7 linked regions of the Ovis aries genome follow. The protein of the gene in region 1 interacts with the protein of each later gene in a pairwise test. Links are inferred from orthologs where the notes say so. Each region holds a gene or a part of one and is shown on either strand. Other genes may lie near its edges. The genes, in order: EGFR, CAMLG, RET, MAPT, SH2B1, PRDX1 and ARPC5.

Evidence for each region.
Region 2: the proteins of EGFR (region 1) and CAMLG interact in binary tests that used the Homo sapiens proteins (3 or more experiments, as listed by UniProt). The link is inferred for Ovis aries from reciprocal best matches to the Homo sapiens genes EGFR and CAMLG.
Region 3: the proteins of EGFR (region 1) and RET interact in a protein complementation assay, tested with the Homo sapiens proteins (3 studies listed by BioGRID and IntAct, with this or other methods). The link is inferred for Ovis aries from reciprocal best matches to the Homo sapiens genes EGFR and RET.
Region 4: the proteins of EGFR (region 1) and MAPT interact in a protein complementation assay, tested with the Homo sapiens proteins (3 studies listed by BioGRID and IntAct, with this or other methods). The link is inferred for Ovis aries from reciprocal best matches to the Homo sapiens genes EGFR and MAPT.
Region 5: the proteins of EGFR (region 1) and SH2B1 interact in binary tests that used the Homo sapiens proteins (3 or more experiments, as listed by UniProt). The link is inferred for Ovis aries from reciprocal best matches to the Homo sapiens genes EGFR and SH2B1.
Region 6: the proteins of EGFR (region 1) and PRDX1 interact in a protein complementation assay, tested with the Homo sapiens proteins (2 studies listed by BioGRID and IntAct). The link is inferred for Ovis aries from reciprocal best matches to the Homo sapiens genes EGFR and PRDX1.
Region 7: the proteins of EGFR (region 1) and ARPC5 interact in a protein complementation assay, tested with the Homo sapiens proteins (2 studies listed by IntAct). The link is inferred for Ovis aries from reciprocal best matches to the Homo sapiens genes EGFR and ARPC5.

Annotation. Positions count from the first base shown.
Region 1 is NC_056072.1:885,938-889,437, forward strand, and holds part of EGFR (epidermal growth factor receptor), read right to left. Parts: coding exon 3,401-3,500; intron 1,839-3,400; coding exon 1,477-1,838; 3' UTR 1-1,476. UniProt on the Homo sapiens protein: Receptor tyrosine kinase binding ligands of the EGF family and activating several signaling cascades to convert extracellular cues into appropriate cellular responses.
Region 2 is NC_056058.1:43,871,335-43,875,291, forward strand, and holds the start of CAMLG (guided entry of tail-anchored proteins factor CAMLG), read left to right. Parts: upstream 1-1,157; 5' UTR 1,158-1,272; coding exon 1,273-1,444; intron 1,445-2,942; coding exon 2,943-3,400; intron 3,401-3,957. UniProt on the Homo sapiens protein: Required for the post-translational delivery of tail-anchored (TA) proteins to the endoplasmic reticulum.
Region 3 is NC_056078.1:12,795,838-12,800,009, reverse strand, and holds the start of RET (proto-oncogene tyrosine-protein kinase receptor Ret), read right to left. Parts: upstream 2,801-4,172; 5' UTR 2,600-2,800; coding exon 2,530-2,599; intron 1-2,529. UniProt on the Homo sapiens protein: Receptor tyrosine-protein kinase involved in numerous cellular mechanisms including cell proliferation, neuronal navigation, cell migration, and cell differentiation in response to glia cell line-derived growth family factors (GDNF, NRTN, ARTN, PSPN and GDF15).
Region 4 is NC_056064.1:45,741,946-45,745,445, reverse strand, and holds part of MAPT (microtubule-associated protein tau), read right to left. Parts: intron 3,216-3,500; coding exon 3,000-3,215; 3' UTR 1-2,999. UniProt on the Homo sapiens protein: Promotes microtubule assembly and stability, and might be involved in the establishment and maintenance of neuronal polarity.
Region 5 is NC_056077.1:26,477,881-26,482,040, reverse strand, and holds the start of SH2B1 (SH2B adapter protein 1), read left to right. Parts: upstream 1-1,360; 5' UTR 1,361-4,160. Other genes in the region: TUFM (elongation factor Tu, mitochondrial), read right to left, coding at 1-110, 848-1,042, 1,146-1,188. UniProt on the Homo sapiens protein: Adapter protein for several members of the tyrosine kinase receptor family.
Region 6 is NC_056054.1:20,139,439-20,142,938, reverse strand, and holds part of PRDX1 (peroxiredoxin-1), read left to right. Parts: intron 1-442; coding exon 443-596; intron 597-1,327; coding exon 1,328-1,450; intron 1,451-1,719; coding exon 1,720-1,850; intron 1,851-3,500. UniProt on the Homo sapiens protein: Thiol-specific peroxidase that catalyzes the reduction of hydrogen peroxide and organic hydroperoxides to water and alcohols, respectively.
Region 7 is NC_056065.1:64,118,550-64,122,049, forward strand, and holds part of ARPC5 (actin-related protein 2/3 complex subunit 5), read right to left. Parts: intron 1,324-3,500; coding exon 1,147-1,323; intron 1-1,146. UniProt on the Homo sapiens protein: Component of the Arp2/3 complex, a multiprotein complex that mediates actin polymerization upon stimulation by nucleation-promoting factor (NPF).

The sequences.
Region 1 (3,500 bases):
GCTGAGATGGATCTTGACTAAGAGTGTTTACAACACTGTCTACAAAGAACTATGTAACATTCAGGGTTTGGGGACACAGATGAGAAAAAGCTTGTGTCGTAAGTAGCGGGTCCTCCAATTACAGGGAGTTATTTTAAGGGGGGATTGTTTTCTTCTTCCCACGTACCTGGAGATGTTATGAAGGCATTATCATCAACTTCAAAGTCAAACTTCGTATTTACCTGAATTTCATATGACACATAATGCTGTCTCTATTTCACCTGTGAAAAGCGCCATAGTGGTGAGGCCCTCCTGCACAGCTTCCCGCGTGCCTGGACCCTGAAACTCACCAAGGGCAAGGAGGGATCTGGGCAACTTCCCAGTGAGGAGCAAAGTGCCCTTTGAGTAAAAATCCCTCGAAGTAAAATAATTAATTATCTTCTAGGAGTAGCCTAAACAAATTGTTTCGTGTGTGTGTCGGGGAGAGCACTGGGGGAGCTCAAAGAGTTTCAAGAGCAGCATCACATATGCAGTCTTCAGACAGACACCTGTCCCCTGACCTCCAAAGACTTAATATATTTCCTCTAAGACTCAGATTTGGGGGATTTGTTCCTTTTTTGCACTATCATTCCATCTCAATTAAAGGCAATGGTCCGAATGTCCATGAATCACATATAAGCTGACCGTGGTTACTGTTTGGCTGTACAGGGAAAGCATACTGGGTTTCAAAACTATGGAATGGAAAATAAACAAGTCTAATACTTTTAATTAGAAAACACTGGTCACCCAAAGGAGAGAAAGTACCGTGGAGACATCTATATAAAAGTAAGTCTGAGGAAGAATTCTACTCCCTCTGTTTCTTCCTTGCTTAGGAAGAGTTCAAAGTGGCTTATTGTCTTGTACCTGCGTTGATCTGATATAGTACCAATGTGGCTTGCTGAGGACTCAGAGGACTGGCTGGTTATTCAACTGTCTTGCAATAGAGAAGTCTCCAAGCAGAGCCAGTGGAATCACGTGTTACCTGGAAGGCTGGTTCATGCGTCTCAGTCACAGCTGGGCCTGGGTCAACTCAGTACCACAGGTGCTATGAGCAAGCTTTTTCCTTCTTAGAAAAGCTCATTAGAAGTAAAATCAGTGTCAATGAAAAAAAACCCAGATGTTCCTAAGCAATAAAACTCCTTGAACATATTTAGTATTTTTCAAATATACCTCACTGAAAGGTGAACTTCTTCCCAAATGGACAACATTCTTTCTGGATGCCTTTTGTGGAAGCCTCACAGTTTGAACACAAAGGAATGTCCCTGCAACTTTGCAAAGTGCATCTGAGTCAGGGGCACTTCTTGGTTGAAAGGTGGGTTGATCAGGGCAAATATGGACAAACCAGTCTGTGGGTCCAAGAGATAATGTCAGCATGGCGGTCAGGACTCAACAGCTGCCATGGCTTGGTCCTGGGGGTGGAAGGGGCTAGAAGTTTATGGCTGAGGTGGTCCTCCATGGTCAGGCCCCAGTAAAGTCACTGCCTGCTGGTGCTGCCCGCAGGTATTCTGTATTTTCAGCTGCAGGTCCCTTAAAGATGCCATTCGACTTGGCTTCCTTGGGAAAAAAGGCCTGCTGGTAGTCAGGGTTGTCTAGGCTAATTTGGTGACTGCCCTTCTGAGCCCAGAGGGCAGGGCCGTCGAGTACACCATTGATACAGGCAGGATGGGTGGTGTTGAGATACTCAGGGTTGTCCACGGCGTTGCTGCGTGAATTTTGGTACTGAGGGTCTCTGCCAGGAGCTGGATATAGAGGCTGATTGTGATAGACAGGGTTCTGGACAGAGCCTGCGGGTCTTTTGGGAACAGATTGGTTTACATATTCTGAAATTGAAAAGAAATCAAGTGTAATCAGCAAAGCATCATCCTCAACAGGATTTCACAGCTCTTTCTAAACCCTGTGACTATTCTTCAAAGAGGCGCTGGACGACAGAGGCAGGGAAACCTAGGGAGAAGACTCTCTTGCTAAAATGAATTGTGTTCTTTTCGTACTGCTCAAAGAAATGTGCATGCTTTTCTTTTGAAAGTTTAAAGTTTTCAGAGGACTGCTTCCCTTGAGACGTGTGTTTGTGCAGGTTGGCTGTCTGGGGACAGAGCTTAGATTAAGCAAATACAAGTTTCACAGGCCAGAAATGGAGCCAGGAGAGAGAACAGGGAACTAATCTGTCTCTCTCTCTCTCACACACACTCTCTCACACACGCTCTCTGTCACCCACTCTCTCTCTCCCACACACACACTCTCACACACTCTCTCTCACACACTCTCTCTCTCACACACACACTCTCACACACTCACACACTCTCGTTCTCTCACACACTCTTTCTCTCACACACTTTCTCACACACACACTCTCTCACACACTCTCTCACTCACACTCTCACACACTCTCTCTCACACACACTCTCTTTCTCACACACTCTCTCACACACTCTCTCACACACTCTCTTTCTCTCACACACTCTCTCTCACACACACTCACACACTCTCACACACACTCTCTCTCACACACTCTCACACACTCTCTTTCTCTCACACACTCTCTCTCACACACACTCACACACTCTCTCACACACTCTCTCACACACTCTCTTTCTCTCACACACTCTCTCTCACACACACTCACACACTCTCTCTCACACACACTCTCTCTCTCACACACTCTCTCTCACACACTCTCTTTCTCTCACACACTCACACACTCTCACACACACTCTCTTTCTCACACACTCTCTCACACTCTCTCACACACTCTCTCACACACTCTCTTTCTCTCACACACTCTCACACACACTCACACACTCTCTCTCACACACACTCTCTTTCTCACACACTCTCTCACACACTCTTTCTCTCACACACTCTCTCTCACACACACTCACACACTCTCTCTCACACACTCTCTTTCTCTCACACACTCTCTCTCACACACACTCACACACTCTCACACACACTCTCTTTCTCACACACTCTCTTTCTCTCACACACTTTCTCACACACACTCTCTCACACACTCTCACACACTTTTTCACACTCTCACACACACACTCTCTCTCTCTCTCTCACACACTCTCTCTGTCTCACATACACACACCACACACTCTCTCTCTCAAGCACTCACACATGTAAATCTTTACTTTTGGCTTCAAATTCTAGAAAATCTGCAGAGTCCTTCTAAAGACAACCTGGACATGCCTGGACCCATGTGCATACTTGGTCGTTGTCTATTGACTGCCCTCCTTCTCCTTTCGTTTGGTCTGCACTCTTACTGTGGGCTCTTACCGCCGAACCAGCTTGAAGGAAGCAGCTGGCCCGGGCCAGGGCCCGAGGCCATGGAACAGAACCCACACACCCCTCCGCCACCCCAACCCCAGCGAGCGGTACTCACCGGGTACTGGGAGGAAAGCGTCGTCCATGCTGTCCTCGGTGAGGGCACCAGTGGGGTCTGAACTGTAGCGCTGCAGGAAGCTTTCTTCCTTGAGAGGGTA
Region 2 (3,957 bases), on another chromosome or scaffold:
AGCCTGCCAAGCTCCTCTGTCCATAAAATTTTCCAGGCAACTGGAGAGGGTTGCCATTTCCTACTCCAGAGGATCTTCCCCACCCAGGGAGCAAACCTACTTGTCTCCTGTACTGGAATGCAGATTCTTTTCCACCGCACCACCTGGGAAGCCCATCATACATATGGTGGCTCAGATGGTAACGAATCTGCCGCAACGCGGGAGACCCAGGTTCAGTCCCTGGGTAGGGAGGATCCCCTGGAGAAGGACATGGCTACCCACTCTAGCATTCTTGCCGGGAGAATAGCATGGACAGAGATGCCTGGCAGGCCACACAGAGTTGGAAAGAACTGAAGGACTAACACCTTCACATATATACACCAATTACTTTGCTGTACACTGGAAACTAACACAATCTTATAAATCAACTTTGCTTCAATAAAAAATTCAAATTAAAACATTTTCTTGGGCCCCTATTGTATGCTGTCAACATGGTGTAATGGATAAGGCACCCTTGTTGAGGGCCTACACTGTTCTAAGAGTTGCAGCCCTAGATTTACGAACACAGTGATTGTCTTCATGGAGCTTATATCTTACGAAGTGGGAAGCAGATAATAAAAGTACATTCAGCTTGAGAGTCAGTTATAACTGTTAAGGACAAAGGGCAGATAAGGAGAACAGAGAGTGTTGAGTCGGGGCGACAATATAGAGTGGACAGGGAAGGCTTCACTGGGAAAGTCTTTATCAAAACAGGCATGCATTTGGTAGAAGCACTGCTGAAGATGAGGAATCAGCACCAAGAACAAATCCCAGCCGCAACGCTCCATAAAGCGTCGCTCTCGAAGTTACGTATTCCTGACGCCTCTAAGCGAGCCCGAAGAAGGTCACTGGAAACCAGTGCCTGCCACTCCAAGCTCCATTTTGCTTCCTGGCATCAGGTAGGCGGAGTCTATTCCTTGCTCACATGTTTCTAATGGGTCAAACCGGATGCCGGGTTTCTTCACCTCCGAGTGAACGGCAACGGCGCCCGATGGCGGGGGAGGAGCATTAAGGACCAGCCCAGGTGGGAGGAATTAGAGCGGCCAAGGATGCCCTTACTCAAGATGGCGGCGCAGAGCTCGCGCTTGGTCCCGACAGGCGGCGCGCCCGTTTACGCTGCATGTGCGGCCCTGCGCTCTGGGGGGCGGGTCCACAGCGGTAGGGGCACGCGCGGCCTGCGGCCCAGTCTGAAGTCTGGGGCGCCGCGGCTGCCGCTCACGTCATCGCCACCACTCCTGGACAGTGGAGGGGAAGATGGAGCCGGCCGCCGTCGCTACCGACAGCGGGGACCGGCCGGGGGCCCCGGCTGGTTCAGGCCTGTCGGCTTCCCAGCGTCGGGCGGAGCTGCGGCGGAGAAAGCTGCTCATGAACTCGGAACAGCGCATCAACCGAATCATGGGCTTTCACAGGCCTGGGAGCAGCGCGGGTGAGAACCTCCGTTCCCCATAGTTTCCTGCCCATCCCTTTTGAGTCTCGGGGATCATTCTTCCTTGCCCTCCTCCACCCCTTGACTTTTCTGACTAAGCCCTGCTCTCTGACCTCTCCTCCGGCCCCGCCCCTTTGATGAGGTCCCAGGTTCTCACTTCTTCACCGCAGGACGTTTCTTGTATCTCTCCTTAGTTTTCCGCCGCAAACTGCAATGCTCTCGATCCTGAGACCCTCTGCCGTGGTATACTCTCTGCGCACTGACCCTGAGGCGGCCCCAACCCTGCCCTCGTCACCCCCTCGCCTCTCTTGAAGGCCGCACATTTTATTCCCAGACTGCTCTACCTACCGTGCCCGTCAGGAAGATTGCCTGTCTTTCTTTCCCTTGTCAATGCTTTCCCTTCCAGTGCCTTCCTTACCGTCTGCCTTCTTTTTGCTCTGTCGGCCCTCATGAGCTTGTCTTTACTGAACTGCCCCTGTAGTCTGTCCAACGTGAACCACGGCCCCATATCCAGGTGTCTGTGCGGTGCCCTCGACACTCATCTGCAGGCCTTCTTAAACAGGCGAAAAAAATTGGAGCGACCATTCTTTAGAGACCCAACAAGGGAAACGTGCCCATGTGAGGCCTTATCTCGTAATGTGCAGAGATTGATATGAATGATGTCAGGAACTGCCTTCAGCACTGAAAGGAGTTCCTCATTTCTCCCCCAATGACATGTACAATGGGTTTCTTAAAAAAAATTGGTTTTTCCCCTGTATTTACTGTACACTCTTACATTTCTATTTAGTGTTGCCTCTAATATTTGGCCTTCAGTCACTGGCTGCAAGTTCCTTAGATCCTTGTGACTTTTGCTCTGTGGGGCTTTAGATATATAACTCAGAATTTTTAGACAGTTCACAGATTTGCCACTGAAAACTGCCAAGAGAGGTAAGAGCCCTATTTCAAATTCTAGAACAATTGTTAGGAGACACATTTTCTCCTTTAATGGTTAATAGCAGAATATTCTTTCTTAAAGCATTTTCTTTTTTCTTTTACTTTGAGATTTTTATTTTGTCTGTCATTAAAGGTTCCCCGCCCTTTGTTTTGTTTTAAACTAGAACAGCATCCTAAAAGTGCTGAAGTACCTTCTAATGTCTCCTAGATTACAGTAGAAGGGTTATGCAAACCGGTAGCAGGAGGATATGCCACACCCTATGCTGATCGGACTCTGGATTCAGAAATGTAATATTAAAAATAGTTGTTTTAGAATATCTCCGTTCCTCTTTCCCAACTTGTCTATTAGCTTTGTCTTCTGTCCCCAAAATTTGGGTTATATCCTCTGAAAGAATACTGTCTTTGACATTTTTTGTGTGTAGAGGAAGGAATTTGTTTCTTTATGAAGGATCAGTATTAATTCAGAGACTGCCAAATTTTAGCTCTAGTGGCATATTTTTAAATATTAATAAGAAAGATGTTGGCCAGTATGTAATACTTAAGGCTTCTAAATTTCTTTTCTCAGAAGAAGAAAGTCAAACAAAATCAAAACAGCAGGACAGTGATAAACTGAACTCCCTCACCATTCCTTCGGTTTCAAAGCGAGTAGTGCTGGGTGATTCAGTCAGTACAGGACCGGCTGACCACAGTGGAGTGGCCGAGGTAAAGGGAACTCAGCTGGGAGACAAACTGGACTCTTTCATTAGCCCTTCTGAGTGCAGTAATGATATAAGCCTTGAGCTCCGGCAGCGGAACAGAGGGGACCTGACAGCCGACTCTGTCCAGAGGGGTTCTCACCACGGCCTGGAACAGTACCTCTCCAGATTTGAAGAAGCAATGAAGCTAAGGAAACAGCTGATTAGTGAAAAGCCCAGTCAAGAAGATGGAAATACAACAGAAGAATTTGACTCTTTTCGAATATTTAGATTGGTGGGCTGTGCTCTTCTTGCCTTTGGAGTTAGAGCTTTTGTCTGCAAATATTTGGTAAGAAACAGTGGGAAATGAAAATTGGTTATAGTAATGAGTGCTTTTAATCCATAAGATTCATTTCTAATATTAATGTAATATTTGTGATCCATGTGACTGTTTGGAGATGTGTTATAAACTTCTGTTTGCCTTAGGTACAGAGTGAAGTGTTCCAGTTAAATACAGAGCCTGATGATAATGCTAAAATCTTTTTATATGCTAAGTACCATTTTAAGTGCTTTACATATATTAATTCATTTAACCTCATCCTTATGAGCCAGGTAGCATTTGAATCTGTTTTGTAGATTGAAGGGAATGAAGACTCAGGTGAAATCATTTGTACAGGGTCACATTACTAAGTGACAACTGGGATTAAACCCAGGCAGTTTCATTCCAAAACCAAAGGGTAAATTACCTACATATCCTATATATTAATTACCGCTTTTCAGATAACTTGAAATACTAAAATGCAGTTTTGGTCCTGAACGTGATGTAATGTTTTTAGAGTTCAGAGGCATTTAGCATTTTATAATGTTGTACTGTTACCATAATAGCAGTCCATCATGTACCCTTAG
Region 3 (4,172 bases), on another chromosome or scaffold:
GACGGGCTGTGCCCCCTGAGTGTGAGTAGGGAGGGGCAAGTGTCTCTGTGTATACACACCGGGGTCCCAGTGTATGGGAAAGGCAGGGAGGGGGGCTGGGTTTCCCAGATGAGGGTGTAGTGTGAGGGGCCCAGCATGGGCGTGAGTGTGTCTACAAGCCTCATGATCATGTATCCTTGAGAAAGGGCAGTGGTGTCTCAGTGATCGCCAAGAGTGAGTGTGAGTGTGTGAGCATGGATTCAGGAGTGTGTGTGTGTGTGTGTGTATGTGTGTGCACGTACCCATGGAATTTGTGCCCTCACACAAATTCCAGGCTGTGGGTGAGCAGTCCTGCCCTACTCTGGGAGTCTGTGTCTGGGATGGCACCTTTTCTGAAGGCGCACGCACTCTTACACAATGAGAGTGTGTACACGTGGAGGGGGGCACACCCTAGGGGTCTGGTGATGTCCTATGACCTTGCTCTGAGCCCCCCTGAGCCCTCTAGCCCATCCCTGCCAGCCCTGAGGCAGTGCTTTCTTTCCCCAACACTCGGGTCCAGCCCACTGCCGCTCCGTCTGGTTGCCTCCCTACCCTGCCTCTCGGCAGTTGTCCAGCACAGAAGAGAGCTTCCGGTCTGCGGGAGGCCGGTCTAGGACAGCAGGGAAGGCTTTCATCCCCTAGAGACCCAGCAGGTAACAGGCACGGCCACAGAAGGGCTGCATCCACAAGGGGGCGCCCCGAGGCCGGGCTACTCCCAGCCTGGGCGAGTCCCGGAGCAGTGGCCCCGGCTCACTAGCGGCAGTCTGGAGCACCACGCCGAGAGAGCTCAGGACCGCCACTCTGAGTAAAGTGTGCCCGCAGGCCTCTCCAAACGCCCGGCTGTCTCCTCCTGGGTACCTCTCCACTCTGTGTCACCAGTCACGGTTTCTTACTCATGCCGTTGGAAGAGTGGGTGGGGCAGGAGGCCTGCTTTCCCTGGATGGGAGGGCATTTCTCCCACCACCCCACTCCGTGAGTCCAGGCTGTGAAAAAGCCACCTGCATTCCTACCAAGTGTCACAGGTCCATGCTAGCGGCCCCGCCCCCAGTCCAGTCCTCCTAGCCTCAGCTGGACACCCTGGCTAAACATAGGAAAGGCGTGGGAAGTCCTCTGCTAGGCTCTGAGGCCGCCCAGCCCACCCTGGCTTCCGGCTCTCACCTGATCACCCGCCCATCACTAGAGTTGCAAAGCAGAGTTACAAGAGATCTTCTCAACACCTTGTTTGTGTTTACTTCTCCCGTCTTGAGCCTTCGCCTGCCAGTTTCCCCCTCCCAGCACCTTAACCCCAGACTCCCAGTGCTTCCCCATTCTTCCCCAGGGCATGGAAAGGATTTCTCTCCTGCCTTTCCTGTGATTGGCTGGGGGCCATCCCAGTCTAAGGATCTGCCTCTTGAGCTTAGGATCCAGTCACACAAATGAAACCTTGGGCAGGCCTGTGAAACGACGGTCTATGCAGGACCCAGAGCCAGAAGCAGGGAACCTTTTGTATTCCCAAAGGCCGCAGGGAAAGGTGGAGGAGGGTGGTGGGGGCTACTCTCAGAGGGAAATTTGGTGCATACATACATGTAAGTATTTAAGATAGAAAAATCCGGGACAATTTGAGAGAAACTAAAATTCGTGGCCACGGGGGGTAAGGAGCAAAGATTCCACAGCCTTGGGGTTCATTCATCTTGTCAAGAGTTTTGGAGGTGGGGACAGTGACCAGTCTGAACCCTCCCAGCACCGATGCTGATGGCACACAGCCCTACTCCACTCCAGGATGGTCAAAGCGCTTGGTGCTGGTTGGCCCCGAACCGTCAAATGGTACCAAAGGCCCCACCTTCAGGTGCCCCTGCGGGGCAGCAGCAGGAGACTCTAAAGACGCGCGTGGAACTGGAACCAGGGCCGGCGGCGCTGGGCCAGCCCTAGCGGGCCCTCGAGGGCAGCCTCCCTGGAGGCCACAGGCTTGGGGGATTTTTAAGGAGTAGGGTGGCAAGATCGCACAAGGGAAAAGCAACCGTTTTAAAAAGAGCAGATCTCCGCTCTCACCTGAGAGAGGATATCAGAGCTGGAGGAGAAACGCACCGACGTGGACTGCGAAAAGGAAACCAAGACGGAACAACTGTTTACAGAAACGCAACTCCTCCTGCCCCAGTGGCAGGCTTTCTAGGGCTACCTTACCCGTCCTCCCCGAACTGCACCAAAACGCCGACAAGACCCGCTCGGTTCGCCCCGAGACGCCGCTGTGGCGCGAGGCGCAAGCAGGCAGGCAAGCGCGGCTGCGACTCCGGCCCTGGGCACCGACCCTGGCCGCCCGGCCCGCGTCCCTCTCCGGCCCGAGATCCGCCCAGCCTGGGGCCCGAGGCGCGCTGCCCGCCACACCACCCCACTCCCAGCGGAGCCCAGGCGGCCAGTAACTGCGTGGCCCGCTGCCCGCCGCAAACAGAAAGGCGTTTTCGAACGCGACCACTCCACCGCGCGGCGCCAACTTCGCCCCGGCCGCCGCGGGCACCAGTCCCCGACAGAACTCACCTTCGCCGAGCAGGGGCAGCAGCAGAAGCAGCAACCGCAGCCCCGCGGCGCTGGCCGTCGCCTTCGCCATCGCCGATGCACACACTGCAGCCGCGGCGAGAGGGACGCTTCCTCGGGCTGGGGGGCTCAGCGGCGGGGTGCGGTGCTCAGCCGGGCCGCCCCATGCCCGTCCCGGAGCGGAGGGCGCGGCGAACACTGCGGGCGCCGAGCGTCGGGGCGCGGGCTCCCAGGCACTCTCCGCAGCTGTGCGCGGGGCTCCGGGCGCGGGACTGAGGCGGGGAGGGCGCGGGCTGCACCCGAGGCGAGGGCAGGGGCGGGGCGGGGCGGCGAGGGGGGCGGGCTGGGGGCGGGGCGGGCGCGGCCAGGGTGCGGGGGTAAGGGCGGGGCGCGGGGTGCCACCCCGGGAGATGCCCGGTGCGGTTCGCCCGGCGCGAGGGTTAGGAGACCAGAGCCGGACGCGGGGCGAAGGCCGGGCGGGGCACGCGGAGGGGCGAGGTGCGGGACCCGGGCACCGGCCTGGCGGCCGCAGCCCCGAGCCGCGCACCTCCGCACGCACAGTCACTCTTCCTCAGCCTGCGCGTCCTCTCGCTGTCTCTGCGCTTCGACCTTCCCTGCCGCCCAGAGAGGGCAGGGGAACCAGGCGGGGATGCGGGGTCTGGGCGGACTGGCTGGGGGTGCGCCGGAGCGGACAGACGAGGCAGGCGCCCCGCCTCCAGGCTCCGGGCGCGGCGCGCATCCTCCGCCATTTCTCGGAGGGGGGAGGTGCGGTGGGAGCGCGGCCTCTCTGGGGGCCGGAGGAGGGAGGGGGGAGGAGGGAGGAGGGCAGAGCCCCCGCGAGGGACCGCGAGCCGGCGCGCCTTCTGCGCGCTCCAGGGGTGCGCCTGGCGCGTGGCTCCTAGTCCCTTCGGGGGTGTCCTAGCGTTAGTTTGTGAACCCCTCTTTAGGACTGGTCCAGCCAATGAAAACAAGCAGCAGACTGGGCACACCTTTCAAAGAGACGGGGAGCTGGCTTCAACGGGATGCTTGGAGGGTAATACCCTTTCTCCCCGACCGCAGATTAGGATTCTTAGGGTGTGGGGCTCACAGGGTGGCAGAGCAAGTAGCAAGAAGGAACTGGAGCCCAAAAGAATTTAACTTTTGCCCCAAGAAATGATGCCCATAAACACATCTGATACTAAAGAGGGAAGATTCTGGATCCCTAAGGTGGGAGGTCCTGGGGTGAAGTGGTAGGTGAGTGCTAGGCTCCTGGGGGGAAAGGCCACTGTTCTCCCACCTCCCAGCTGCCTTTTGAGGTCAGGCCCCCACCGAGGCACAGAGGAAGCACATGGGACCTTGGGGTGGGAGGATCCCAGGTCCCTAGGCCTGAGGTGCCCCTATTTCAGGGTCTTTTCTTCCTGCTGTGCACAGAGCCGCGCCCTCCCGCCTGGCTGAGCTCAGAGCTGAGTAAGAGCTGTGCACATCTCTGCAGATATGAAGTCAAAGTGAAGTCACTCGCCCTCAGGAGGAGCTGCCAAGACAGGCTGGCTGGGGGCTCTGCCAGCTGAGATGTCCAAGCCGGCCTGCTGGCAGAAGGCCAGGGCACAGTGCTGCCAGCTCAGGAGAGCCACCCTGCGGCCACCAGACCTGCTGTTGTTGCCTGCCTC
Region 4 (3,500 bases), on another chromosome or scaffold:
CTTTGCCCAGTGGTTTAACTATCTTACAGGTTCCTCCCCCCTCCCCCCTCGAATACAATAAGCAATCGCAAACAGGATACGTCTCACCACTGAAGTCAATTTAAATGGAATTATTGATAAAGTGAGTGGAGAGCTTGAGGGGACCAGGTGGAAGAGGGACACCGACTCCGGAGGAAATGGGGGTAGGGGTGTGCCGGCTCTGGGGGGATTGTCCTCATTTAAGGTTACAAGCCAGCATCCCTTCGCAGACTCCCTGCCAGCAACTTGACCTGATCACCTAAACCACGATCTTCAGGCTGATCCCAACACAGGCGATTCCAGAGCCCTCTGGGAAGGAAGTACTTGGAAAGCCAGACACGAGACTGCAAGGAGGGGTGCAAGGAATGTGGCCAAAATCGGTGGCAGGAAGGAGGGGCCACATCTCTCATATCTTTACACCATGTTTCCTCCTCCAGAACCCTTCCAAGACCAGCTGGGACTCAGGACCGAGGAGAGGCTCGAGGGGGGGGGGACGCTGGGGCCCATGTGATGCCTAGCATGGAATGCTCTGATTGCAAATGGAGCAGCGGCCCTGGACTCCGACCCTCCCAGCCCCACAGGCTTGCCTTTGACTGTTCCCACACCACAAGTGGCAGGCCTGGACCGAGGCTGAGATTTCCTTTAAACAGCAGATTTTGACAAAGGCTGCTTCCCTTGTCCCCATGGCAGGAGAGGGTCGGCAAGTGTATTCTGACTTGTTACCACATCAGGAAGCTGGGGCCCCCTGGGGCTGGTCGTTCATCCCAGGGACCGTAGGGGCCCTGGGTGGGCAGCTGGACCATCCTTCCTGAGGGAGAGCTTGGAGCTGAGGGGTGGGCTGCAGATCTTGCCCCAGTAGGCACTCGTGATGCGGGGAACTGTCCAACCCTCTCTCGGGGCTGCAATGGGGCTTCTCTGGGGCCATCTTCACCGCAAGACACGTGCCCTCTGCCTGACAGAAGGGAGCCCCGGGTCAGGGAGGGGGGACTGGAGCTGCTGTCCTCTCCTGGGCTTCAGGTGTTCACAGCCGAGGGTTCCCCAGTGTCAGGAGCTGGTCTCTGTTGGGTCCCCGATGCTGATGGAAATCTTTCATCAACTGGGAGAGCCACATGGGCCTTCTGGATCTGAGTCCCCGCTGTGGGGTGAGAGACACCTAGGACTCCCACGAGGGCGGGTTAGAAACCTCTTTACAAGCATTTCAAGATACATGCGTCCTTTTTTTTTTTTTTTTCTTTTCACTATCATAGTCACTCTGGTGAATCCAAGCATAAACAGACAAATCAGACTACAAGGCGACAGGGTGTGGACGGGGAGGGGAGGGCGACATCTATGTATATGTTCAGCTGCTCCAGGACAGACCACCCTGCTTCCCGCTGGGACAGGGCGGGGAAGAACCAGTTCCGAGGGGGCACGTTTCCCTTTACGGGGTGCGGAGGGCTGATGACACAGACTTGGGGTCGAGCAGCGGCTGGGCTCCAAGAGGCTGGCAGTCACAAGCTGGGGCAGAAGTGGGGGACAACGGGGGCGTGGTCCTGCCCTCGGGGCCTTGCCCGCCTGCCCCAGGGCCATGGCAGGCATCCGGGACGGCCAGCCTGCTGCCAGCTCGGCACTGGACGGGGATCGGGCCCAGACAAGGCATGGACATCCAGGGTCACTGCGAACCCCACCCTGGCTTGCGACTGTGATGGCGGTGGGGGCAGGGAACTGAGTAAGGTCGTGGGGGCCTTCGTGAGGGACACAGCTGGATGCCTATAACTCAGACAGATGGAGGTTCCTGGTGTCCGGACCTCGCCCTCCTTGACTTCCCCCTTGGTATAAAGCAGGTGTCGCCCCATCAGAACAATGTCCATTACCGAGAAGGGGTGGGTGGTGGGGCGGGGAACTCGGGACAGCGTGACGTAGTGAGGGGACAGGCAGTGACCAGGCTCCGCACGGCAGACACACAGGCGTGGTGGGGGCAGACGCAGGGCTGCATGGCCGTGGGAAGGAGGAGAGGTTTAGGACCGGAGGCCCAGGCTTGGAAACAGGCAGGTGCTCCCAAGAGGCACAAGTCCTTACAAAGAGAACTGGTTAGCCCTAAGTTCCAGATCTGTGAGGTGGCCAAAAACGCGGCTGCAGTTCCCACCTTCAGAACTCAACAAAACGGGGGGTTCCAGGGGGCGGAGGGAAGCCCCTCAGCTCAGGAGCCCCCACCCACCCTGCGAGAAGCGAGGAAGAGGCCAGCGCTCGGTGGTCTTTTCCAAGGAGGTGACCCACACGACGTCCTTCCCATCACCTTTCTTCTGCCCCGTCCCTTCTCCCCGCAGAGGGTAGGCCTCCGCCGACCCCGAGCCCCAAGAACCGGACGCCGCTTGGTCCGAGGCTGCGGCGGGCGGCGGAGGCTGTGCCCTGCCCGCGGCCCTCCAGGCAGGCCCCAGCGTCCCCGCCCCTCACAGGCCCCGCCCCCAAGGCCCCTTCCGCTTCCCGCCCCGCCCCCTGCCCGCCCCGCCCACCCCGTCCTGCTCCAAAGGCGCCTCGTGCGCCTGTGGCTCCACCGAAGTGCCAAGTTTCAAGCCCCTTGTTGCCACTGCTGCCTCGGGGACACCCCCAGAATGGGGCACCCCCCCAGGCCTGGAGAGTCCCCGGAAGCAGCTTGCAGAGCCTCCCTTCTCCCTCTTCCACTCAGAGGGGAAAAAAAAAGAATCAAAGTAACTGCCCAAGGAAATTCTGGGTGGACCCTCTTTTGGAGTGTTTTTAAAAATACTTTATTAGGACTGGCCCACCCATCAATTTGGAAAGCTGAACTTGGCTCTGTTCCGGTCACTGATTTGGAAGCCCCGAGCCAGAGCTGAGCGACAAGCAGGTTAGTGATTAACCGATGAACCGATCTGTGAGGAGCAGCTGGGGGAGGGCAGAGGGCGAAGGGCCAGAGCATTATTCTTTTTTTTCCCACACTCTCCCACTCTCTTCTCTCCACGATTATTGACCGCCCCGGGGCCTGATCACAAACCCTGCTTGGCCAGGGAGGCAGACACCTCGTCAGCGAGGGTGGCGAGCTGCGGCGAGTCCACCATGTCGATGCTGCCGGTGGAGGACACGTTGCTGAGGTGCCGGGGGGACGTGTCCCCCGACACCACGGGTGACTTGTACACGATCTCCGCCCCATGGTCGGTCTTGGCTTTGGCGTTCTCGCGGAAGGTCAGCTTGTGGGTTTCGATCTGTAAGAGAAGAGCAGGCAGGCTAAGGAGGAGAGCTGGGCCGGGTGACCGCCCGCTGGCCTTGGGAGGGAGGGAGCCATGGTGGCGCCGACGGCTTCATGGCTTCCCAACAACTAAGCTGCACCATGCTAGTCACCTGCCAGCCAGCCCCCCAGGCCCCCTCTCCAGAAGCAGAGACCGTTGTGGGTTTTTTGTGTGCCCTTCTAGGAATAGCCCACACATGCAAACATGTACGTGTGAGAAAAAATACATATACATGTACATACAGGCATATATGTATAAATA
Region 5 (4,160 bases), on another chromosome or scaffold:
GCTATACTCCACATGAGCCGCATTGATTGTGATACCTCGGGCTCGCTCCTCTGGGGCGTTGTCAATCTCTTCGTACTTCTTAAACTTGGCCCCACCTCCCTCCGCTAAAACTAAGGGAAGGAAGGGAACACACTTTTCAGCAAGGCCCTTTCCACTTTAGAAAAGGACAGTCTAGGAAAAGCAACCTTCCAAGATACCCTCCTTCAACTCCTGGGACTAGTAACTCCAGATCAGAAAGAAAATAGAGCCTCAAGGGCTAGCCCTGTGACTTCTCTAGGCCAACAATTCTGCTTACAGGGCACCTTCCCAGGGCTGGAGGGAGGCCACTGGGGGGGTCCCCCAACTTATGCATCAAAAACTTCGTGTTCACGGGAAATCTGTCTTCTGCATCCTGCAGTGTACTGTCCGCCCAATTTCTGGCGCCTTGTGCCCTGGTAAGTCACTTCAGTCGTGTCCGACTCTGTGCGACCCTATGGACTGTAGCCTGCTAAAACTAAGGGAAGGAAGGGAACACACTTTTCAGCAAGGCCCTTTCCACTTTAGAAAAGGACAGTCTATGGACAGGCTCTTCTGTCCATGAGATTCTCCAGTCAAGAATACTGGAGTAGATTGCCATTCCTTTCTCCAGGGGATCTCCCCGACCCCAGGGATCGAACCGGCCTCTCTTACGCCTAACCTGCATTGGCGAGCGGGGTTTTTACCACTAGCGCCACCTGGGAAGCCACCTGGCGCCTTTGGGGCAGCACCAAACACCTAGGCAGTTCCTCCGCGGGCCCCGCCCCCTTGGCTCCAAGTCCCACCTGCAGAGCAGGCGTTGCTGGAAGCCCCCCAACCCAACCCCACTTACTTTTCGTGATGGCCGCGGTGAGGGTGGTCTTGCCATGGTCTACATGGCCGATGGTACCCACGTTCACATGGGGCTTGTCACGTACATAGGTCTTCTTGGCCTCCACAGCCAGGCCACGGCACAAGACGGGCAATGCCGGGGCCTTCAGCTGCCGCAAAAGACCCTGCAATAGTGGTGCTGGGCCGGCGCCGAGACCTGCCGGGGCAGATGCCTGGAGTCACGGCGCAGGTCTGAGCCCGGCCGCTCCCGACGACCCCCACGTGAACCCGGGGCGCCGTGGCCCTCCCCGCCCCCTCACCGCTGAAAAGGGGCGTCGCGCGCAGCAGGGTAGCGGCCGCCATTGTGGTCGTACTGGCGCCGTAGAGAGTACCGGGCACGGGGGCCGGCGCGTGCAGCGGGGAAAGGGCAATTGCGGATGGAAGTCGCTTCCGGCGGAAGTTAGGACCGAGAGGGCACGTCTGGGCCCCTCTAGCCTCCAATCTCTATGGCCCTGTGAACTTCCGGGCGCGCGACAGAACCCGTCCAGGAAAGTGCTGATGGTGGTAAGGTGGGGAAGCTTTCCACGGCGCCCTCCAACCTCGCGGGCTCAGGAGCCACGCAGTTCTCTCTGGTGGCGCCGGGAGGCGATGTGGAGCATCTCATAGCGCGCCTACGCCCCGGAGGCTCATGGGCGTTGTAGTTCCCAGGGCCGTGAGCTGTACTGGCACGTATCGTGGGAGGGCGAGGCCAGGTCCGGAGGGACGGTCCAGGCCTTCTTGAAGCAGAGGCAGCGGCCCCGGCGTGGATGACTCCGGAACGTCTTGGCCCCGAACCACTTGGAGTCCAGTCCGACCCGCCGCGCGGGTCTGACGACAGATCTGGCGGCCTTGTGTCGCAGCTGGAGGTAGGACCAGCCGCTGCGGCCAGGCTGAGGGAAGACTCCCGAGAACCTGTTGGGGGTGGGTCTCTAGTGTGACCCACCTCTCTTTTAAGCCTTTGTTTTCTTATCTGTGAAGTGGGAATAGTATCTACTTTACAGGAAGATCCTGACATCTAGCTCTGAGAGGAAATGAGCTGGGCAAGAGGCAGAAAAGGGGTCCAAAAGCCTCCGGGTCCTACAGTCTTTGAGACCCTCCCCTGGCTCAAATGCCCTGTGAGCCAGGGGGGACAGAGTTTCCTGTCCACCCCTGTCGCCCCTCAGCAGGCCAGAGTAATTCTCTGGATCGTCGGTCAACCCACCCGGTTTTACAGATGACCAGGTGAGAGACCAACTTCTTGTGCCTTTAAGGGCAGCCTGAGTCTGTCTTGTTCCCGCTGTGTCCCTGGCACCTACCACAGGGCGGGGCACTCAGTGAGTGCTCAATTAATGTCTGTTGACTGAATGAATGAGTGCAAGGATAGTAAATGACCTTTAACTTTCACATCCATCATCTCATCACCGTGGGATGATAATAGCAGCTGCTTAACCTTGATTAATGTTTCCAAAATTCATCAGCTCCTAAGACTCAGCTGATGGTGTCTGTTTCAAATAGATTCCTTAATTCCTCCCTTGGAGATTATGATTCAGTAGTATCTGGGTACAGACAAGAAAACTATATTTATTTTTAATACTCTTCTTAAACTCATAGGAGTTTGGGGGACTCAGAATTAGAGCTTTTCATGGTTCAGGCGTTGTGCTTCATGTTGCTTCTCATTCAGTATCACATTCAATGTTATACTGTGTGATAGGACCCCATTTTACTAGTGAGAAAACTGAGCATCACGGTAATTAAGGAACCCAACACAGCTAAACTCCAAAAAAGTGTGCATTTAGCCACTTCACCGAACTATAATTTAACTGTCATTTTACAATGAGAAACTTGCTAAGACTTCTGTCTTCCTGGCCCTCTAAACCCATCAGCTTTGATGAGAAAGGGCTTGTACAATATGAAAGGGTTCTCCTTGTCCCCAACCTGAACCTCAGTCATTCCACTTCTAGAAATTTATCCTAAGACACTATCAGCCACTAACCAGGATATGAAATATTGGGGGCTGGTACTTAAATTAATGCTTTCTTTTTTAGTGGTGCTATATTCATTTTAATGTGTATTAGTTTGAAAGAAAGGCTGGCATTGTAAATGTTGTATTTAAAAAAATGTTGAATCAATTAAAAAAAACAACACTTGGTAGATAAAATGGGTGATATGAATATATGGCAAATCTGGGGAGAGGTGTATGTGAATGACTGAAATTTGCAAAACACAGTGCTCAGGAAAGAGTCCAGAGGGACAGAATTTTTGTAGAGCTTTTGCCTGTTGCACCCTATGTCACAGGAGTCTGGATTTGCAGATAATAGAATTTACATGGGCTGGTTGGAAAACTGTGTCAAGGTGGTAGGCAGCCTACAGAATTGTGGAACGGGCTGAAGAAATGGATCCTAAGCCACAGGTCTGACCTGACCTGGTAAGAAAACTGCTTCTCCTGACACTGCCACCAGACACTAAATGCCAGGACTTAGACTTGTCTGCAACAGCTGCTGCTCATGGTCCTGAAACCGCTTCTACATCAAAAAAGTGACCTTTGGGACTTCCTGGTGGTCCAGTGGTTAAGAATCTGACTTCCAGTGCAGAGGACTTGAGTTCAAGTCCAGATGGGGAACTAAGATCCTACATGCTGCAGGGCAACTGGGCCTATGTGCCACAACTACTGAGCCGGTGGAGTGCTCTGGATCTGTAAGCCACAACAAGGATCCCACGTGCCACAACAAGGATCCCACGTGCCACAACTCAGACCCAACACAGCCATAAATGAATAAATATTTTAAAAAGAAGGAGGAGACACCGAGGAGACAGACCACCTTCTGACTCTGGGAGTTGTTGGATCAGGATGGGAAGCCTGGAATTACCATGCCCATCATGCTCCCATCCGTGGTGAAGCCAAAAATCCAGAAGTGGGCAAAGAGGATCTTAGAAGCCTGGACTCTACATGGTGTGAGATGACAAGTGTCTTTATTGTTTAAGGCAGATGGTGTTAGAGTTGTCTGTTACTTAAAGCCAAATACACCCTAACAGATAAGTCTGCCTTACAGCACTTGGACGTATTTCTTGGTGTCACTTGTCTGAGACTAAGTGACTTGAGTGGGGTGAGGACTGGGCTTCCTTTATCTCCATATACTGTGTGCCTGGCCATAGCAGGTCTCTGTGCATACTTGCACTTGAACTGTTCATGAGCCTTCCAAATCGAAGGGTGCTACCACTGTGATGCTATGAACCTAACATACTCCAAACAGGACACTATGTTTCTCCCATACTCTCTTTACATATCTGAATAAATGGCACCACCTTTGTCCTTTTCC
Region 6 (3,500 bases), on another chromosome or scaffold:
AATAGCAAAGGCTCTGACTTTCTCTTGTTGGTCTTGTTGCCTTGTGGCAGAGAATCCAGCAATTCAGCTCTTTCTGGGCACTGATTATATGAGTATTGGCAGTAGATGATTGCATCCTTGTTTTTTCTTTTCTTCACAGAAGAACTTGGTGTTTGTGTTAATTTTAACTACTCAGAGAAGATCAAAATTAGACTGAACAGTGCTTATCTGTAGTTGGCAGCTAACATGGAAGAAGGAAAATTCTTATGGCCGAGGTTCTACAGTAGCTGCTAGGCATCATCTGTGTTGCGCATCTTGGTGTTTTAACAGTTGTCTGCCATCAGTTGAAAAAAAAAAAAAAAGGCTTCTTTTTTCCCATAGGAAAATGTCTTTAGGTTTACATTCTCTGCAAAACAAGGAAGTCTATTTCAAAGGGTAACAGGCTTTTTTTTTTTTTTCCCAGGAAAATATGTTGTGTTCTTCTTTTACCCTCTTGACTTCACCTTTGTGTGCCCCACGGAGATCATTGCTTTCAGTGATAGGGCAGAAGAATTTAAGAAACTGAACTGCCAAGTAATTGGTGCTTCTGTGGATTCTCACTTCTGTCACCTGGCATGGTAAATCTCTTGGTCCATTTGGCATGGGCTTATTTTAGAAAATTATAAATTATGGATTTTTTTTTTTTTGTAGCTGTGCTGTGTGGCATGTGGGATCTTAATTCTCCAACCAGGGGTCAAACCTGTGCCTCATGCAGTGGAAACGTGGTAGAAGTCTTAATCCCTGACTACCAGGGAAGTCCAGGCATAGGAGCTTTTAAGCAGCAACTGGAACCAGGAGGCTTTGGCAATAGACTTTTTCAAGTATTGACTTCTGGCTCCTCATGGAAGGAGTGCAAATGCTCTGACTTCCTCTTGTTGCTCTTATAACTTAGCAGCAGAGAAAAAGCAGCTTGGGTTGCAGCTGAGTGTACCCTGGTGATTTTAATTGGCCTCAGCCACTTACCGCTGGACTTCCCTCATAGCTTAGTCGGTAAGAATTTGCCTGCAATGCAGGAAACCCAGGTTCAATTCCTGGGTTGGAAAGATCCCCTGGAGAAGGAAATGGCAATTCACTCCAGTATTCTTGCCTGGAAAATCCCATGGACAGAGGAGCCTGGCAGGCTACAGTCCATGGGGTCGCAAGAGTTGGACACAACTTAGCCACTAAACCACCATTTACTGATGGAAAGAATTTAAAGTTTTCTGGGGAGTTAGATTAGCAACGTTGGGGTAGGATAGACACAGTTAATGCTTTTGTTACAGAAGAATTTGAATGAGTGTGATCGTATGTGTGTTTTTTTTTACTGTAGGATCAACACACCCAAGAAACAAGGAGGACTGGGACCCATGAACATTCCCTTGATATCAGACCCCAAGCGCACCATTGCTCAGGACTATGGGGTCTTAAAGGCCGATGAAGGCATCTCATTCAGGTATATATGCACCAGGAAACTGGATGATTGGCTGAAGATCTTTTATAAGTAGAGCTGTGATCTGTGGAGACGTTTTTTATTTTGTTTTTTTCTTCCTGTTTTGTTGAGAATAATTGATATACATCACTGTGTAAGTTTAAGGTGGATGGCATAATGGTTTCATTCTTTATGCAGGACCTAAGGGGAAGGCCAGTTTCTGCTGATTTACTCTAACAGCAATTTCTAAAACTGTACTATCTCTCCCTCTGACCTTTAATATTTTCTTGCAGGGGCCTTTTTATTATTGATGATAAAGGTATCCTTCGACAGATCACCATAAACGATCTTCCTGTTGGCCGCTCTGTGGATGAGACACTGAGACTAGTTCAGGCCTTCCAGTTTACTGACAAACATGGGGAAGGTAAGCCAGTTTGCCTGGTGACAGGACAGTGGAGTGATAGGGTGGGAAAGACGGTGGGAACAAAGTCTACCAGATAGGAAAAGGGTTATTATGTCTCTTTAAGAAATTTCAGTCTCTGGATTATAGTGGGTTGTAGGGGTGAGGTAATAGAAAAGCTTGGGGAGGAGAATATAAAGGCTTTTTGTTCCAGCTGTGTATTCCCAGCTTCTACCCTGCTCATTTAGAATTACTTACTGCTGCAGATTCAACTTGTTAAAGTGTAGGAGGATCTCATAGGTGTTAACATTTTTGTCTTTTAAAAATTCATTCTGTTGTGCAGAATATTTTTTGTATCTATAAGAATTATAGTCACCAAATACCAAATTATATAAATGTTCAATATAAAAAATTTTTTGAGGAGGGATTAGGGCAAGAGGGTTTGAGATGAAATCTCAAGGTCCTTCGAGAAGTTTCAGGATTAAAGATGTTTTTGTGAGTCTGTCCTTGTAAAATCTAAACATTACTGAGAAGATTCAATTATATGGTTTTTGTCTAGCATTCGTTAGAGTGTAGGTCTTTCTTACTGCTCTGGTCCTTCTCATCTGAAATAGTCTCCTTGAAGTGTTTTTGATAAAGTCCTGAACTGCTTGCTCCCAGGCTCTCAGTTTACAAGACTGTAGCTTCTGAAAACTCCCCACTTTGGCCCAGTGGAGTTGTTGCTTGTAATGAGACCACCGTATTCCAACTAAGAGTTTAGTTTTAAGACCCAGAGAGATGTTATGGGGAGGGAGGTGGGAGGGGGGTTCATGTTAGGGAACGCATGTAAGAATTAAAGATTTTAAAATTTAAAAAAAAAAAAAAGAACAACTCCTCAGTCTGCTCAAGTGCTGGATATGTAGGGGGAAGGGGATCTTGAACCCCACCCAGCTACCCCAGCTTAATGTAATTGAGGATATAAAATAGTTGTGATCACTGCTACTGTTCAATTCACATCTCATGAGTTACAGGAGGTGAAAGTTAAGAGTCTGGATTAGTGGTGTTTGGGGGACCCGAAAGTACTAGTTTGGCTGGAGTGGAAGGCAAGTAGGTAATGGGAATCAGAAGGCACCATTTGCAGAAGTATGTGTAGGGTTTACTCTGGATTGAAGCAGACAGCTGCTGAGACTGCCCTCTGGTGGAGAATGGTTCAGAACAAAGATGGAAGGAGCTGAGGAGTGGGTGGCAAAGTTGGCCCTTTATTTGACTTTCCCTTGCATGTGTAGTATAGACTTTTAAATTAATTTTTACTGGGATAGACTCTTGAACCCAAGGTTTCATGAGTTGTGAAGCTTGCTTCTCAACACTCTTGTTGTCTGCTGCTTCCCATCCCACTAAAACAAGCACAGCTTTCTGTGTGCAGTCTTTAATGGCTTATAATATGATAGTTAGTGTCTGAGTGCCTGTGGATATCAAGCACTCTATGAGGTGCTGTCATGTTATTTGACAAATAATCCTACAGTCCTGTTTTTAAAATTGAGATGCATGTTAGTTTCAGGTGTACCACATAATGATCTGATATTTGTATATCCTACATTCCTGTTTTTCTTTAAAATTTCTTTTATCTTGAATTTACACTTTTTTGGGGGGAGGATCTTTGAGTTAACCTGTATTACATTTTAGCAGAGAAAAGGG
Region 7 (3,500 bases), on another chromosome or scaffold:
CTAATACTGCAAAGCAAAATGCATGAAAACAGAAAAAAGAAATTAAGAATTCTTGATCCTACTCCTGATTTCATTTTTTAGAACTGTGATAAAATATGTAACATAAAATTTGCCACATTAGCCATCTTTAAATATAAAATTCAGTGGCATTAATTACGTTCAAATATTGTATAGCCATCACCACTATCTATTTACAATACTTTCCCATCTCTCCAAACAGAAACTCTGTACCCATTAAGCAATAACTCTCCAGTCTCCCTTCTCCACAGGCACTGGTAATTTCTAATCCATTTTCTGTCTCTATGAACCTGCCTATTCTAGATATTTCATGCAAGCGGAAGTGAAGTGAAGTGAAGTCGCTCAGTCATGTCCGACTCTTTGCGACCCCATGGACTGTAGCCTACCAGGCTCCTCTGTCCATGGAATTTTCCAGGCAAGAATACTGGAGTGGGTTGCCATTTCCTTCTCCAAGGGATCTTCCCAACCCAGGGATCGAACCCAGGCTTCCTGCATTGTAGGCAGACGCTTTTACCATCTGAGCCATCACAGTATTTTGTGGAATACAGTATTTTGTGTCTTTTTGTATCTGGTTTATTTCACTTTGCATAATGTTTTCAAGGTTCATTCATGCTGTACCATGTAGATAAACATTTTCTGGTCAAGTAATATTCCCTTGTATGTCTGTGTCAGATTCTGTTCATCTGTTTGGGCATCCCTGATGGCTCAATGGTAAAGAATCCACTTGCAATGCAGGAGATGTGGGCTAATACCCTGGAGGAGAAAATGGCAACCCACTCCAGTATTCTTGCCTGAAAGATCTGATGGAGACGAGCCTGGTGGGCTATGGTTCATGGGGCTGCGCAGTTGGACATGAATGAGCAGAGCGACTGCACACGCATGCATGCACGTTCATCTGTTCATGGATGCGTGGGTTTTCCAGCTTTTGGCAATTGTTAAAGAATTCAAATCAGCATCTCAAGACCAAGGCTAGCAAGCATAAATCTAAACTTTCATTTTCATGCATTTATTTGTAGTAACCACCAATGTATAACCAAAGAGTCAAAACAGGTATTTAGGCTAGAGGTTGTCAATGTTTTTTCCATTACAAAGGAACCAGTCATACAGATTGTATAATTCATGACTTACCTTTTCATGCCACTGCAATAACACAGCACTGCTATTGTCAGAGGGGCTCTCAAAGCCTTTATAAATATACTTCATTAGGAGATCCACACCATTCTTGTCCAGGGATTGAACTGCTTTTTCAATATCGTTAGCTTTAAAAGAGATGAGCACCTTCAAGACAATGCTGCCTGCGCGATCCTGAAGGTAAATAAACAACAGATCGTTCAGTCTCATTTTTGTGTTGGGTAGTTCCAGTTTTTAGAAAGGCTGCACTGCGAGTGTGACATTCGGGTAGAGACCTGAAGAAAGGAAGAGGACACCTTGGGTGTATCTGAGGCAAACATTTCAGAGAGAGAAGAGTAACTGCTGCTAGCGTGTGTTCAGTGTGCTCAAGGGACAGCAAGAAGATGAAGGGGGCTGGAGTGGAGTGCAGGGCAGGAAGTCAGAGAGGCAGTAGGAAGACAGAACGCGTAAACCCTGCAGGCCCTTATGAGAACTCTGGCCTCCAGTCACAGAAATGAGAAGCTGTTGGACTTCCCTGGTGGCTCAGAGGTTAAAGTGTCTTCCTGGAATGCGGGAGACCTGGGTTCGATCCCTGGGTCAGGAAGATCCCCTGGAGAAGGAAATGGCAACCCACTCCAGTACTCTTGCCTGGAGAATCCCATGGAGGGAGGAGCCTGGTAGGCTATGGTACTGAGCGACTTCACTTTTGCTTTCTTTCTTTCTAAAAAGAGTGATGTCATCTGACTTACATATCCCATGGAGGGAGGAGCCTGGTAGGCTATGGTACTGAGCGACTTCACTTTCGCTTTCTTTCTTTCTAAAAAGAGTGATGTCATCTGACTTACATTTTAACAGGACCAGCTGGCTGTCATATTGAAAATAAGCCCGGGGCAGCAGGAGGGTCGGGGGAGCAGGAGACAGAAGCCTGGAAGCCAGCTTGGAAGTTCCTGCACCAAGACAGGCTGGCTTTGGCTGGCATGGCAGCAGCAGAGGCAGCCAGAAGCAGACAGAGTCTCGACATATTTGAAGGTAGAGCTGAAAGGGTTTACTTACAGATAGATGTAACAAATTATCAATGTATTAAATCAATACATTTCACTTCTTGATTTAAAAAAAATAGACCAAAAGAAGGAAACTGAATTATAGTTCTACCCTGATGCATCCTTCAGAAATGTTATTAATAAATAAAAATTTAAGTTTCTAAAACTTATTTTTCATTTCACATCTATAGTCAAGTGACTATAGGTATTAGAGTGGTCTTCATTTATAATGATCTTTTTCTTTGATGAATGACTGCTCCAACAGCAGTTGCTTTTCACCTAGCAAGCCAAGTACACAGAACACTTAATTTCCCCTTTCAACAATGTTTCTCTTTCTATTCAACACAAAGTGATACCTTCTGCATTCCTGCCGGTCATGATCTTACAGTATGCTTCTACCACCTTTTGCTGTCTTCAGTTTAAAGACTATGCAATTATCCGTTTAGAAAAATATCCTTGTATGGAGAGCTATAACCTCCCACCCACACGCTCTGATTAAAAAAAAACACCCACAAAAAAGCAGAAGGTGGTAAAACGAAATTTCAATGACGTTACTCACTTTTAAAAACCAAAGAAGCATTTCCTCTTATAAAAGATTATGTTGCCTAGATAATAATGCATTTACCTAAGTTATTATTTACTAGTATTTAACTAAGGAGATACTTGGGGCTCCTAGGATGTGTGAATGGCTATGGACAGTGGGGGGATCAATGCTCTGGGTGTGGGATTATGGACGATTACATTTTTATTCCCCCATATTGCTGAGTTTTCTACAATACTTAACAGAACTAAACATTAAAATTTAATCTGAAAAAAAAAAGAAAAAAAATTTAATCTGGGCTTTAAACAATTAAGTAAATAGGTTCTTAAGAATTACTGAAAGATGGTTAAGAGGCAATGTAATTTTACAACTTTTCTGAAGGGTAGTATGGCAATACCATATGTAGCCTTAAAAAAATGTGCAGTCTAAAATCCAGCCATTCACTTCCAGAAATTTATTCAAAGGAAACAATTCAGACTTTACCAAGAATTGTTCATTTCAATACTATTTATGACAGGAAAAAAGTCAATAAATATATGATGAAAGTTTATATATAACTAAACTGCAGGATTATCAAAATACAGATGTTAAAAAAGATATTATAGAAATAAACTTATTACCAAGTAAAGCTGTTCATGTATGCTGCTATACAGATGAAAAGCAGTTTATCTATTTTAATGAAAAGAAAAACTCATAGAAAAACTCTATAAGCATACAGCAACAACAAAAAGTAATGATTATCTACAGGTATGGAATTATAATTATTTTCATTCCCCCACATTTCTGAGTTT